Linked DNA regions of Caenorhabditis elegans. The protein of the gene in region 3 interacts with the protein of the main gene of each other region in a pairwise test. Each region holds a gene or a part of one and is shown on either strand. Other genes may lie near its edges.

Region 1 (5,360 bases), on a different chromosome or scaffold from region 3:
ACAGCATCACAATTTTTGAACTTGCTTCTAGCTAATATTTTGGTTTTTTCTTATGCTTTTTGATTTTCTCAATATATCACAATTTCTTACCAATCGACATATATTCTAGGGTATTCAGCCACTCGACATGCCGAATGAAACAGATTGCCAAGTTATGGCGGAAGTCGCTACGTCGTCGTTTTTAAGGTAAATGAGAACATTATTTTCAAATTTATTTTTTTCAGATTTGTTGTAAGGTTTTCATTTTAATTTAGAAAAAAAGGTGTAGTTGTAAAAAAGTCAATGGAAATTCCACACAAACCGCTTCCAAACACTTGAAATAGGAATTACCCAAACCTTGAAATTTTTTGCCCTGAAATGCATGACTCTAGTTATTTCTGCACTTTTTAAAGATACATTTAACCAGTGAGCCAAAAAAAAATCATGCAGTAAGCAAAAAGTGCAGAAATTCAAAAGAAAATGACCAGGTGCCACAATTTAAAACTTTAAAAAATTCGCCCAATTTTGATAGACTATTAGTACAGCTTATAGAGTAATTATAGATGCATCAAAGTTCTAGCCTGAATTCGATATTGAAATACTTCAAAACTCGAACCAATTCAGAACCTCCCTGGGTATGACCACCCTCCTCTGCATTCTATGCGTTCCATGCACCATTTACTCATTTTTGGCAATTCAAAAAGCCACAAAACTTCATTTCAACAGCAAGTGTATCTTTCATACTCTCACCATTTTTGCGTTTATCCACATGATTGTTCGAATTATTTTACACGGAAAAGATCTTCTGAATTACGTTGGACCGTGGATGAGCGGATGCGAAATATTTCCGTCTAGAAGCAGATGTGAACTCCGGAAATTGTACAAGATTTCTGCGTTTGTGGTAGAGGTCACTCCGTTTGTGTTGACGGCAGAACGATTTGTGGCAACGTTTAGAGCGAGACACTACGAGAATAGATATAAATGGTGTGGAGTTTTATTGAACATTTTTCATGTGAGTTTCGGATTTTTTAATCAGTACTTGGTAGTAGGCCGACTACAAAAATGAATTGTCTATTTCAAAATGTTTTTAAATTAATGGTTTTACTCGCATTTTCTTATGTGATTTTATTGAAACCTTGAAATTAGAAAAGAACAACCGATAAAATTAAGCAAAAAAAAAATTGCGAAGCCTCATCCACAATTGGAAAACTTCTGCAAGATTAGAGTTTAAATTGAAAAAATTTAAAATAAATTAAAATAAATGCAAAAAAAAATTGTCAAATTTTTCAAAAACTGTGGGCATTTTTGATTTTAAAAAATTCAAAAGAAATGTTTCTTTTTCAAAAATTTTACAATGATATTTGGAAATTTTAGCACAATACGAGAAGTGACGCTACTCTACGCCCGTCAACTTTTTTGATTTTCAGATTTCCCTTGCTCTATTTCTTTTTACAATTCAGTCATCTGAAAAGGTCGGCGGCGATATAATCTATTATTGTTGGGTAAGTAATTCAATAACACATTCTAAATTTCTATCAAAAAATTTTATAGATGTCATCTACCGGAAATCGATATATGCTAAACCTACCTATTTTCGTAATTGTTTTCAGTCAATTGATAACTATTCCCGCGTTATTATATCTTCTCAGAAAGAATGAGGTTAGTTTTAAATAATATAAAGTTCAATTAAAATGTTTTCCCAGACTTTTTTCCAGAAATTTCGCGAAGCTTCCTTGCAAAAACGATCGACATTATCTCAAAGATATCAACTATCACAAAACCTGCAAACATTGACAAAATTCCGAATAGTTAGCACAGTGACATGGATTTATGTTACTTACAATGCAGCAGCGACGTTCGGAGTTCATTTTTTTTTGAAATCAATGTCATCAGCGGGGCAATTTGCAATTATAGAAAGTTGGTTTTAAAACAATTCAGAAAAATTTCCAACTACTTTTATTTCTAATTTTTCAGTCGTTCACTGCCTTCCTCTCTACTATTTGATACTTATTTTCCTAATGGTCAAGGAAGACAAGAAGCCACACAGACAATTCTCTATAAAAGTAGATCATTATGAACCGCAATATTTTAATGATTTGCAAAAGTTTTTTGATCAGTCTTTTGACAAAGTAAAAAAAACCAAATCGGTAACATTTGTTGTTTCTTAATAAATGATTTATTGCATAGTGTCAATTCTTGTTTGCTTTGAAAGTTTTTGGATGTTTTGGAAAGTTTCCAGATGTTTTCAGTTTTCGGAAAATCAACAAAAAATTGCTAGAACTTTCTGAAAACTTCTAGAACCTCTGTAAGATTTTCATACACTAACACGTATTTAGAAAGTTCTAAAAATCTGTGTTTCTAAAGTATTCTATAATAAAAGTCTCTAGAACACTTTAGTAGCTCTCCTGAATTTTTGAGGATATTTCTGAAGTCTATCAAATTTTAAACAATTTACTGTCAAAAAATTCCAGATTTTTCCATAAGTTCTAAATTGTTTTCAAAAGTTTCTAAAAGTTTCCAAAACTTTATAGAAGGTTCCAGAATTATCACAGAGTTTTTCAGAATTTTCCAGAATTTTCTAAACTGAATTTCCTGAATTTCAAAGAATATTTCTAAAGCCTTTCGAGTTTTTGAAAATTTACATGAAATTACAGATTTAACCATACGTTTTAAATTTTTTTTCAAGAGTTTCCCAAAATTTCCAAAAGTTTCAAAACATTCGAAAAAATTTTTAAAAATTTCTCAAAGTATCCAGAATGAAGTTGCTAGAAGTCTCTCGGATTTTCAGAATTTTTCAGAAGTTTCCAAATTTTTCCAAGATTTTCCAAAACCCAACTCAATATTTAAAAACTCATTTCTTGGTCTACAGTAATTCTACAATACTCCTACAGTACCCCTAGAGTACAGATACTTTTAGAAATTTAAGGAGCATATTCTATTTTTCAGTTGAAAATTGCAGTTTCACGAATATTATTCTGTATTATTCCACAAAGTGGACAAATTTACTTGATAAAAACCAAAAATATATATACATTCGAAATTCATTTTCTCTATTTGGTTCTGAAACTCCATTTAGTTAAAATCTAAAATATTCCCCAAACTTAAAATCATTCCAACTAAATGTGATAGTTGTACATGCGGCAAATGACAAAAACGATGAAAAATAGAAAGAAAGAAAGATGGGTCGTAGAATGGAATACATCAAAAGAGCTTAAAAGTGTGTGCTCATTTTGGGGGTCCTGGTCCTCCAATCCGTGCTCCACACGGAATTATTTGTTCTTCTTCTTCTTCTTCGTCGCTTTTCTTCATCTTCAAAAGTGTCTCCTCAACATCCTTCGTTTCTTCGCAAAAACAAGATTTTAATGAATTTGTTTTACTTTCTACTGATTAGCAGTTTCACTGATGCTCTCACAACTTCCACTGCAATTACAAGCACCGGTATAGAATCAAGTTTTGTTCATGAAAATCAAACAATTGGATTGAAAAAGGAAAATGTTTGTTTATTATACCAAAAATGTTTCAATTATAAAAATTGTTAATTACAGGGGGACACCTGTATCAGTGTGACATTTCAAGTCAAAATACTAAATCAACAAAACAACAATAGTGTTCCAATTGACGTAAGTTATTAAGTCGATTTCAGTTCCATATACACAAAATTTCTAACTAAATGTTACTTAAAAATTCAGTTTCATTTGCCATCTGGACTCATCAAAGGAAATTGTGCTGTTACTCGAAAGAGCAAAGCTGTCATATCATCTACCATAGAAGAGACCGACGGAAGAATGAAAACTCTAAAATTTGTTTTTAGAACTGTTAGTTAACTATCATACTTTCATCGATTTAAAATTGTTTTTACTTACAGGAAGAAATGCGTGCAAAGCGCCTTGATGAATTGAGATGGCAATTGAACAAAGTGATCTACGAGGAAAAATTCGCTGGTACATTAATATAAAAAAAAGCATTTTTCATAAGACTTCATGAGCAAGTCTCTTTCAGGTAGTTCTGCAGTATTTGAATCTGATAACTCATCAGTTATCTTCTCGGCTCCACTGACGCAAAAATATGTTTGTGAAGATAGAATTAATGTGACATTGCACAGCGTAAACTTTGAGTAAGTTTTAAAGCTATGATTTTAATAAAAACTGAGAATTTTCAGTTTTCCGATATTGGTGATGTTCTCTCCAGAGATTGATGTTCAGCCGTATGGACCAAAAAGCAATTGTAGGTTTATTAGGAAAAAGAAGAAAGAAAAAAATGTTTCGAGAGGCTCGGGGAAGGAAAGAGGGATGGAGTTCATTTTTCAGTGGATTTAAAACTGAACTAGAAAAAGTCGATCTAATATTTTGCCAGTGAATTTATTTGAATACTTCCATTACTCTGGAAGTGGATTTATGCAGGCATGTTTTAATGATTTTAAGGGCATCTAAAAGTCTAGGAGTAGGCAAACATTATGATGTCTATTTGCAAACATTTCTTTTTTTTGGAATCATGTGTTAAAAAAATGGCTGACGGAGTACTAAAATGACAAATTATGCCATGAGAGAGTTTTAAAAATTTCGAAATTTATTTAAGTTTGAAAAAAATTACTGGAAAAAATACTGAAAATTGTAAAATTTCAGCTGCTTTATCTGAAATTAAAAAAAAACTTCTGGTAAAAGTCAATTATCATATTACCTTTCACAAGTTAACAAAAATAAATATTTTTCAGTTTACATCTGCGAACGATCTCGCAAACGGACACTTTCCGAGTCCCTTCAACATCGTTCCACTGTTTTCTGCGGGGTTGTACTGGCCCTCTCATCAATTGCTCATATAGTTGGGCATATGCTTCGACGACACTTTATGCCTCATCGAAAAGAGCTTTATGAGAATTTGGATAAACTTCCGGCAATGAACTAGAATATCTTTAGTGCAAAAACATTTTTCTGTAATTTTTTCTTTCACGAAAATCAATTTGCTTTCTGATCGTGAGCTAATAAAACGTTGAAGGTTGTAGACGAAATATGTCGTAGATTGAATTAGACTAAACTTCGTTTTTTCTTGTTACTCTTTCGTGTGATTTATGTAAATTCTTCCAAACAAAAATTTTATGTGAATTCCCAGTTTCTTTCCCTTTATATTTATACTTTATTTGGATATATGTATTAGAAATAATGTCTACTCACAATGAAACAAATGGTATGTTGAAGTATATTATTTACTGAACTAGCAAGTTTTAGATATTTTCAAGAAACTGAAACCTTTGTATTAATTAAAAGTATATATTACGAGTTATACAAGTTCTAATAGCCTACTGGAGAGAACGGCTTCCCAGAAACTTTGGGGTATTTTCTATTACGTATTCAATAGTTTATCTGAAAGCGTAAAAACGACTTTAT
Region 2 (5,360 bases), 4.1 Mb from region 3:
GATATTCATAACAGAGTATAGTTTTGTGTGTTATAAAACAAGTTTTAGCCCATGTAAACTATATTTAGGCAAAATTATCTCGATATAGCTATAGCTGCGTTAAACGACTCCACAAAACAACCGCTAGTTCTGACTCTTGAAGTAACTTTTTAGGTGGACTGTAATTTTTTTTGTTTATCTAGAAATGTTTCGTTTTTGTATCGATCGAGGGACTTAAAGCGTCACATCGTTTCCATCGCTTTAAATGAAAATTTCAGCATTTTAACCAGGAGTGGGCGGCAACTACCGTTCCATAAGAATGTGCCTATTGAATGTGTCAATTTTCTCAAAAAAAAGTTTCAGTAACAAACTTTAATTTCATAATACCCGTTTTCCGGCAAGTATGAGACAGTCAAAAAGTTCACATATTCCAAACACCCGTTTCTATTTCTGTTATAACTTTCAATGTGGCTCATAGGGAGCACACATCCCACACACACACACACATACACATACAAACAAAAAATATTCAAGTACATACATGACCAATTTGAATTGCCCGCAGACCAAAGAAGAGAAAACGATGAAAGAATACATTCAATTTTCGATTTTTGTGTTTTGAATTTGATTGAAAATCTATCCCTCTTCCTATGCACAAAAACAACACCACAGTAGGATTCCCCCGCACAAAAGTGGCACAATGAGATGACCGCATGTTTACCTAGACACACATCTTCTAAGCCCTGAGCATTCGCACGACAACGATGCTCCGGTAATCCGTTGGTGCGGACGAGGCGAACGGAAACCGAACACATTGGAGTGTGTTGAAGTTTGCTTCTTGATTAGTACTTTATATTTGAGTTACTTCTTATTATCTTACACCTATAAAATTGTCATGAAAAGCTACAAGTGCCAGCCAAAGCTTGACATAATACTATACACAGAGTGAAACAACATCGTTCTTACTAGAATATAACAATATAATTCTTGGTGTCTATCTAAAACTGACTATCAAATCTGACCCTTCAGAAGTTTAGAGATATTGCTGGTTGATTCGTTCACGGTAAAAATGAATCTCAAAACAGTATGAGTCAATAGCAAGGGAAGTATCAGAAATTAATGCCAATTAAAAGAAAACCTTCTAAATGTGCTCCTACAAAGTTTTGAGCGACAGATGAGCACTTTGGAAATTAATCTGAAAATTCAAGGCAAAAACTCTTGTTACAACAATTTTCTGAAAATTTGTCAATGTTTAATGATACAATGATTCCTCCATTTAAGATAAAAAATGTGTCAGTTTTTCCAGAAAGTTTCCAAAAACATTATGTGAACAAAAGCTTTCGAAAAGTATATTTTCGTAAAAATAGTGTTACTCGGTTCCAGACTACAGAGTTATGAAAAATTAAAAACTCCTCAAAAATACTGACTCTCAAAATTTGCCGAGCTTAACAAACTCCGAAAAATATGAAATTTTTCATTTTTTTGGAGTACTGAAACTACTGAATTCTTAACACACATATGCTTTCTGAATAAGTCCCGTGTAGTGTGTCTGCTTAAACATCAAAATAACCCAATAGATCGGAAAATTTGTCAAATCTACTTTTTTTGAAATTTGCCGTTTTGACAAATTCGGAAAATTTGCCGAACTCGGCATGTTCGCACACCCCTGATCTGAACTAAATTTATCTACCCACGAAAGTATAGAATAACCCCATTCACTATCAAAAGGAATTTAGCGAAAACCGTGTCTTGTGCTCTATGTGATGTTTGCAAAACATCAGCAGTGCAGATTAAAAAGGAAAATCAGTTAACAACACCTAGGGGCAAGCAAAAAGAGCGTGAATTGAAAAAGAACAAAGAGATATTTAAAAATGCGCAATCATCAGAAATCATAATTAACAGAGCAATCTTTCCGATGATAAGCCGCCGAGGGAATGATGTTAATTTATATAACACTAAATAAACAACTTCGGTGTCGTTTTTGAAATGGGACCGAATCGCCTGATTCGATTTTTTTAGTTGAAAGTGCAATTTGCACTCACCCCATTTTTATATTGATTCCCAAGTTATTGTTTGAAGCTTCAGTTTTCCATACGTTTGGAGGCATCACATTTTTGTCAAAGCGAATTTTTCTCAAAACAATTATCGAGAAAAAAATTTTAGGCAACGGTTAACTTTCACAGAATTTTTGAGCACATATTCAAAGCTTTCAACAAAAATGTTTTACATTTTGGCGCTAACTTGTTAAGGTTAAATACTAAAGCAATATGGCGCAATCTTCCGTTTTGTCAAATGCTGCTGCTGTTCCATTAGCTTACATGTATGAAAATGTGAAAGATGTTAGTTGGTATTTTAAACATGACGAATGTTTGTTTCCCATGCGATTTTCTACATAATGATTTTCAAATCAAATCATTGTGGAAATGTGAACCTTCCAAATAAGAACAAGTCCTTTACTTTCACAAATATTACCTAGGCTGTTTTAATCAAACATTAGATATAATAACCAAACATGAAAAATTGCATCATATAGTTCTTTATCAAGTATTCTTTATTAATCAAACAGAGCTATTAAAGATCTAGGTCCATTCACCGCAATTTGTGGATTATTCGATGTTTGATTAATACGAAGTTTGCCCATTTTTAATGTTGGCAGTGGTCCAACAGTGTTTTAATGTTTTTCCAGTAACACGAGTTCAAAATGTTTCAACGATATTCCAACGAACACCCGTTTGGTATTTGCTCCGACTTTGGTACTTCTTGCATGAAGTGTAAATACTTCCCACTGCAGATTTCATCGTCGATTCCGATGCACATACCCGCTCGCCAATAGAAACGCGATGTACAAATAGGAACGATTGCAAAACAGAAAAAAGAAAACAAGAATGGAATCTGTTTGAAAAAGAGGCGCCATTCATTGCGTGGGTTGAATATGCGTAGAATTGCAACACACTTCGAGCAAAGGTCGAATATTTTTCTTTGTATGATGAATGAGTACTGTACAACATCTAATGAGCCTATTATTTCGAAAAATAATTTCAGTTCGCACGAACTTGAGAAATTTTTATGTGTGTGTGGTTTGCAATACCTAATTGACGATTAGATCATTGAGTTTTAAGATGTAAATTTTAGTTTTCAAGCTTCTTTTTTTTCATGAAGCCCTCAACTCTAACTTCTCAAGTAAAAATATAATAAACAATAATTCTTCCACTGTAGACGTAAGTAACATTGCAATAAATCATCAAAATGTAGCTTGTGACCATTTTTCTACAAAGAATCTAAAAACTGAACTCTCAATCCACTTTTTCATCATTTTTTCAGCTACGGCGTCGCCGCATCGTGCACCACGGCTCTTGAATGATGATCCAACAACTTCTGTAATAAAAAAACGGTTGGCGGCGCGAAGGTTCTCTTCACGAACGAACGTAACAAAAGGATACCCGACGAAAATTGGGAGGTTCTCGCCGAGAGAAAGAACCGCCGCGAGGGGAAAGTTGTTTTGTAAATAAATAAATACAGATAGGTACTGCTCCTGTTGCTGCTGCACCGCCACTCGTGTGATGATGAGAGGAAGAGAGAACGGGTGGAATGAAGAAAAGCAATGAGATGACCCTTCTCACCCGTCCGATAGATCTGAGTACATCTAGCCGGTTAGTGCAAAGAAGGCAAAAAACTTTCAAGTATTTTCGTGACAGATTTTAGAACTTGTTCCGAATTTATTCCCTCAAATGAGAGGCAATTTAATTAAATTAGTATGTAATGCAATTTTTAATTATTATCAGTACAATACCGTGGTACTTTTGGACTACTATAGGCATACTGAAAATTATTTATATGCGCGGCTGGTAAACTGAAATTTTACTCGGTCACAAAAGAATACAGAATAATTGTAATAACTGTAGCACAACATGATAACAACAACGGTTAATTACCGTATATTTTTTATTTCTGCTAAACTCCACTGTTCTACTTTGAAAAGTTAAACCAAGGTTCATTTTGAATATATCAATAAAATTGATTGAAACTTATAGAAAAAAGAACATTATTCATGTTATGAACTTTTCATTAAAAACAACGGAGAAGCTAAAGTGGAACAATACGAAATATACGGTATTGTTGGTGGCGTGAGAGGTTGCGCAAAATTCAAAACCACAATTGTCGAAAATTTTTGGCAATGGCCGTTTTTCCGGCGGATTTGGCAATTTGCCAGATTGCTGATTTGCCGGAAGTTTCCAATTCCAGCAATGTGCCCATTTGCCGCTTTGTCGGAAATTTTAAATTCCGGCAATTTGTCGAATTGCCGGAATGAAATCGTTTCTCCCTTTTCACTGAGCACACTGACACACACACACACACAATTTTCTTGATATTTTCTACCATATCCGTGTGTTCTTTTTTAGGATCCTCCTTTCAATCTGCGAGAAAGAATAATACAAAAGTGTGAGAAACGAACGCCATAGGATCAGAAGGAAGAGCGACAAGCTTGTGCACACACACACACACACACACATACACTGTAATCTCCGCCCCTTTTGCACAGGGCGCTTCTTTTTCCGCGCGGTAAGGAGCTCGACGCACAATTTCGCTTTTGACCCCACCCCATCATCCTATTGAGCACAAGAACTCCAAAACTCTCACATAAAATCGTCGAAACGAAGTGTGCATTCTTCAACAGTCTCTCTCGTGTTAACTATATACATATTCTGCTCATATAATTTACACACAACCACCCACACAAAAATCTTATTTAATATTTGTGTGCACACATTTAATCTAACAAAATATGAAGTTATTCTTTATTGCTACTGTGTTACTGATCAGCGGCACGCATGGAGCTACAACTGAACAATTGAGACAATGGATTTTGAACAACCGAGAGAGTCTCAATGGACAAAATGACTTGGCTGGAAGCATTCTGAGGTAACATTTTTTCCCCTGTTTTACGTGTCTGATAAACCGGCTCGTTTCTAAACTAAAAATAATTCCCCAATTGTCATACGACTGGGGAACTACCCCTAATAATTCTCAGCTCTGCTTCCAGACTATTCGGATGGGGATCCGACAAGACGACAGAAGCCACAACGACCGAAACCACACCGGAAGCGCCGACGACGTCCGAACCAAGATCTCACAGTCGTGACGGTATGCGATTTTTCTGTCAATCATCCCCGTTTTCATTTGATTAGGTGTTAACAGTCTCTCTGTGAGGGTGATGCTCTTTTGTTTGCACTAGTGATAAGAAATCTTCCGTGTGATGAATCGTGCGTGGACTGTCATCTTTTTTCTTGATGTGACCGCTGGTTACGTAATGGCCAAAAAGTCTAATGTAAAGTTCGCTTTAAAAAAATGGCTGGGCTAAAACAACGGATACATATGAATAG
Region 3 (5,360 bases):
GGTCACTCAGTTTGAGACTTTTTCCGGATTTGGGACAAGCGGTGTGTCGAAGATGGATCAACACGGATGCCGAAGTTGATTCTACAATGACGTTCAAAACTGAAGGATACGAAACACTAGATAGTTTTGTCGCGGAATTACAGGATTTTGTAATGTGCGTAGTGTTTTTTCTTTTGCTGTGGCAACTGTCGGATTACTGTAGAATTACTGTAGTTCTGGAAACATTGAGCTTTTGAAGAGGCATTGAAGCTACTCCTACAGTCCCGCCACAGTAGCTCGACAGTACCCCAATACTACATGTTCTGCCATCAACTTTTTCTTCTAGCTCTACAGTAATCCTACAGTGCTGGTTGTGTTTGATTCGTGGAATCACAGTTGTATTTTCATGTTTAAATAGTCAAAACTGATGTGGCAGTTTTGAGAAGCCCTTACAAAATTTCTTGACAAAATTAAGTTTACAGAGTCGAACATACCAACACAGTCGTACGGATCCAGATGGAAAATCCCGAAAAACACGTTGTTCTAACAGCCAAGTGGTATCCTCGTAATCTTGCTGGAACTCTCTTTGGATACGGCACTCTTAAGATTGTTCCGGCAGATTTAGCAGTTTAACATTTTTAACAATTTGATTTAATTTTTTTGCCATTCGTTATCTCTGAGCTTCCAATTTCACCCATTTCTTCTTTTTTGTTGATAATTTTCAGTTTAATAAAAGTTGATAAACGGTTAGAAGTTCTCGTTTCTTGTGACTGGAATTCAGAAATTTAAGAAATTCCAAACTTTCTTTGAGTTGAGTCTACACCTTTGAAGTATTGCAGGAACACAAGAGGAGGCATTTTTTATTGTGTTTATAAAAGAGTTGAACTTTAAAATTCCCGTATACTATTTCCTTTTATGTTCAGGTACCGGTTTTCTATGACAAATATCAGCAGTTTGTATGGGGTTTTATAGATGTGTGTTCAGATACTTTTGGATATTATAAGTGCAAACGAGTGCAGTACGGCCGGTGAGGAAATGATTAAAAACCATTCCTATGGTGCTAAACATCCACCTGTCGTAACAAAATTTTTTTGTTTAAAGTTTTAAAAATTTTTTATTGACAGGTCATTTTTGAAACAAAATTTTAAAAAAATTTCAAATTTTTTTTGGAAAATTTTACTATGATTTTTGACCATTTTAGCACTATAGGAAAGGTTTACAGAGTTCAGGATCCTGATGATCAAAAACCGCAAAAATATTATTCCTAAAAACGTTTACAGACAATAAAGTCCCGGCTTATGCTCATTTTTGAAGTTTTTGAAGGTAGCCAACAACTTCCGGGTAAACATATTGTTACATAGAACAGGAGTTTTTGTGAAAGTGGAATGTTTAAAATTTTAATGAAAATATTGTTCTAGCTCCCTTTGAATCAATTCATTAGTATTTGTTCAGCAGCAGTGAGACCGAAATCGACAAGTAGTTTTCCATTTCCTGATCAATTTTGAATGGAAAACTTGTAAAATTAATTAGTTTTGAGAACCGCGGGCATTTTTTTTTGGAACAAATGAAATACATCAAAAATTTGACGTAAAAGCAGAAAAACTATATAGATAGAATTGGTTAAAACCGTTTGAATAGAGTTTCAAAATTTTTAGGTATTATTGATTTTGAGTTGTAGTCTAGGTATACTCTAGTCAGGCGAGGTCTGCGTTGTAGGCAGGCAGGTACTTTTTTACCAAGTTGTAAGCTGTAAAAACCTCTAGACAATAAATAAGAATTTCCGATTATTGAAATATTTCAAACAAATTGAAATTTTTCCGACTAGAATTTTAATTCCAAAAAAATGTGTTTCTAGATAATTTTATGGAAAACAATTTTTATATCACAGTTATGTGATTTTCGACCGAAAATTATATCAAACTTTGATCAAAATTTCTTCAAAAATAAAATGAATTGCAAGAACAAAAAGAAAGAAGACCATCGGAAGTCTCATTCTCAATATTATTTCGCACATTAAACCGTCCGTTCTGATGGTTTTATGATCATTGTTTTGGCATTTGGCCGCCCCCCTGGTCTTCTGTGTCTCGTTTCAGGCGGAAAATATTGAATGAAATTGGGGATAGTTATTCGAAATTCATATAATGTTCACTTTCTATTATTATTGTTATCCCGTTTCTTTTTCTGTGTGTACATATATGTTTGTACATTGTGTATCACTTTCACTGTCACCTTATCATATCATCATTTTAAAGATTGTTTTTTTTTGTTGAATATTTGGGTCAGAAATTGATTTCTTTTAATATATGTTTCATTATAACAACCTTTAAAAAATATTTTCAACAATCCTATTTTTCTATTTGTTTCTCATTTTTTTAAAATAAACGTCGATGCAAATTTTATGATTTTTTCAGTCTAAAGTTAAAAATTAACCGAAAAATTTAGAACTCAGGTAGGCACGTAGGGATTTGATGCAGGTCGGGGCACGCTGTATTTAAGTGTAACGTTCTTCGAGAATTTTTTTTTCTTAAATTTGGTCTCAAATTCTTAAAAAAAGTTTAGACTTTTACCGATTCAAATATGTAGTTTTTAATCTGAAAATTACAGAAGTCAAAGTTCCAAACCCTAACCCAAATGCCAATTATAATTTACGAGTTCATGTTCATTTTTTCCTTTAGAAAATCCTTAATAATCCCAAAAAAATCACAAACCCCGCCTTTTTTTTTTCAATTTTCCGTTTCTCCTTTGCCACCCACATTATTCGTTTTGTTCCTCGTTGTTCAATTTTCTCTCTTTTCCCATCATTTTTGTGATCGCCTTTCACAATTGTTTTTGAGTTTGGAAATGTTTTATTTATCATTTTGATAAATGTTAAATATTTCCGAAAATTAATAGCAAAAAAAACTTGAAATTTCCAGATGGTGCTTCTGGATACGGGAACAAAAAATGTGATACGACTATCAGTTTCTTTTATGCTTTTGTTTTTTGCATATATGAGTCAAGAGTTTATACAGGAGCCGTTAATAGAAGAAGAGCACCGAAGAGGAGGAAATATTGATCCTCATGCCGGATATCATAGGTAAGTTGTGAGCAGGCGTCAGCAGGCGTCAGCGGGCGTCAGCGGGAGTCAGCGTACGAGTTTTGTACTGTATGTTTGCTTCAAACGTTGCAAAATCAAAGAAGCAATGTTCATAAACAATTTTTGTGAAACTGCGAAAATCTCAGGGGATAATCTCCAAAACTCACTCACTTTTTTTTTGGTAAAAAAGCAGTTGCAGAAAAATTGTTCTTTTGGTTTTTCTTTTCAATTTTAGTTCAAAGTTCAAACATAATAGGTTCGTGTGTACGTAGGCAGGCATTTTGGCAGGTTTGCCTATCACTTGCCTGCCTACCTACTCGCCTGCCTACTTAAAATATTTTAATACCAAAAAGTTCAATGCAAACATATTTTCAACTCTAGAAATTTGAACATTTGCATAATCTATCGGTCATCTCGTTTTTATAGTAATTGGGAAGTCTACGGTTTTAATCTGATTATCAAAACAATACTAACACCAGAGATCATAACGGGTCACAATTTGTAGAAATATCAACAAGCTCTATGAATAGGGTCAACATGATTTCAAATTGCTTATTTTCAGTTTCGCGATTCTCTACTTCTTCTTCACCATTGCCTGCCTACTGATTGCTCCAGTGGTTGACTTGATAACTGCGAAATGGTCGATGGTTGTTGGATTCTTCACGTACATTGCATTTCAGTTGGGATTTCTTGAATTGAACAGTGCATACCTGTACACCACATCGGCTCTTTTGGGAATTGGAGCAGCTTGTGAGTTTTTTGAAGTTTTGGCTGAAGTACTTTACTTTGGTAGTAAATATCTCGGTTCATTTTGGAGATATCAAAACATTTTCAACTATGGAACTATAGAAAAAGAAATTTTGAATATTTTCTCAGTTGAGAACTTTTTGATATAAAAAAGGAGAATTGAGATATAGGCTGACAAAGAAATTTCAGTCCTTTGGGTTGGTCAAGGAAAGTACCTCACGGAAAATTGCACAAGTGAGACTATCGAACGCAACACTGCTCTAATGTGGCTCATTTTCAAATTCAGGTATGTTTTACTTAGCCTAACATCTAACAAATTATATAATTTCAGCCTCCTAGGCGGCGGGGTCTTCCTTTACTTCATGTTCCAGGATCAAACTATGCACGAGCTGGTGCTAAGTGGAGATGTAAATTTTTCAGTTAAAAATCTATACTGAATATTCAAATTTTAAGTTCAAAATCTTTGTCTACGTGTTCTGTTCCATCTCGGTAGTTGCTGCAGTCAATACTGCATTCCTTCCAGCGCCGGCGTATGTACCAGAGAAGAGGGAAGCAGTTACATTAGCCGGAACATTGAGTTGGTCCAAACTTTTTGAGTTTTACGTTACTTTTACGTTAGTGATTTGCAGAAGTAACATTCCGGTTAATCCGTCAAACTCCGATGCTCCTGCTAGCGTTTATTTTCTTGTACACCGGGTTCTCCAGGTCGTTTTGGATTGGTAGGCAGGCACATAGGCTTCATCTCAAACCTTACAGCAATCTACCCGACCTACTTCATCTCAAACCTTACAGCAATCTACCCGACCTGCATCAAATTCACCTCCAAACTCGGAGAAAACACCACAAAACTTCTAGCAATTAGTGGAATTGCAACCGGGATTGGGCAAATTGTAGCTGGTGGAATATTTTCAGTACTCGGAAAACGTGTCAGAATACTCGGAAAAGATATGATTGTAGTGATTGCTTGTGTACTTCATTTGATATGTTTTGTATTGATTTATCTGTTCTTCCCATATGATGCACCACTACGTCCTACACAGAATGTTGGGATTTTTGAGCCAAAGTTTGTATTTTTTGGGAATTTTTAAGTTGAACAATTATGGATTTTTCAGTGCCTACATTGCAATATTCTGCTCTGGGCTTCTTGGTTTCGGCGATGCAATTATTCAGACTCAAGTCTACTCGTTCCTCTGTGACGGGTACTCTGAAGAATCGTCTCACGCATTTGCTCTATTCAAGTTCTACAGTGTAAGTTTCAACTTGAAGGGTCTGTCTAGGCTCATATATACTAAATTTCAGGCCATATCCTCCACAATAGCTTTCTTCGTATCAAAATACTTTACCTTGGCCGGTCATCTTCTACTTTATGGAGCTTTTGCCATTCTATCAGCCATCGCAGCAGTCATGGCTCAAAAGCTATATTTCCACAAGACACGGCATTTCTTTCAAGGTTTGTTTTATTTTTTGACAACCTAGCGGCTTGCCTACCTATCTGCCTACCTACCTACAGCCTGCCTACAACCTTAATATTTCAGAAAACACAAAAATCCACCCTGCC

The links.
Region 1: the proteins of F31D5.2 (region 3) and unc-46 interact in a two-hybrid assay, tested with the Caenorhabditis elegans proteins (one large-scale study listed by BioGRID).
Region 2: the proteins of F31D5.2 (region 3) and C23H3.9 interact in a two-hybrid assay, tested with the Caenorhabditis elegans proteins (one large-scale study listed by BioGRID).

Annotation. Positions count from the first base shown.
Region 1 is NC_003283.11:5,096,885-5,102,244, reverse strand, and holds unc-46 (Lysosome-associated membrane glycoprotein 5), read left to right. Parts: upstream 1-3,219; 5' UTR 3,220-3,341; coding exon 3,342-3,473; intron 3,474-3,524; coding exon 3,525-3,599; intron 3,600-3,668; coding exon 3,669-3,794; intron 3,795-3,844; coding exon 3,845-3,920; intron 3,921-3,978; coding exon 3,979-4,093; intron 4,094-4,138; coding exon 4,139-4,203; intron 4,204-4,690; coding exon 4,691-4,881; 3' UTR 4,882-5,170; downstream 5,171-5,360. Other genes in the region: srab-1 (G_PROTEIN_RECEP_F1_2 domain-containing protein), read left to right, coding at 128-186, 604-991, 1,407-1,481, 1,531-1,638, 1,695-1,896, 1,954-2,147.
Region 2 is NC_003280.10:76,698-82,057, reverse strand, and holds the start of C23H3.9 (Metallo-beta-lactamase domain-containing protein), read left to right. Parts: upstream 1-2,791; 5' UTR 2,792-3,629; intron 3,630-4,379; 5' UTR 4,380-4,762; coding exon 4,763-4,899; intron 4,900-5,020; coding exon 5,021-5,121; intron 5,122-5,360.
Region 3 is NC_003280.10:4,212,724-4,218,083, forward strand, and holds the start of F31D5.2 (UNC93-like protein MFSD11), read left to right. Parts: upstream 1-2,894; coding exon 2,895-3,055; intron 3,056-3,617; coding exon 3,618-3,805; intron 3,806-3,991; coding exon 3,992-4,088; intron 4,089-4,133; coding exon 4,134-4,209; intron 4,210-4,255; coding exon 4,256-4,379; intron 4,380-4,431; coding exon 4,432-4,521; intron 4,522-4,594; coding exon 4,595-4,865; intron 4,866-4,914; coding exon 4,915-5,050; intron 5,051-5,101; coding exon 5,102-5,252; intron 5,253-5,337; coding exon 5,338-5,360. Other genes in the region: F31D5.7 (F-box domain-containing protein), read left to right, coding at 1-154, 462-612.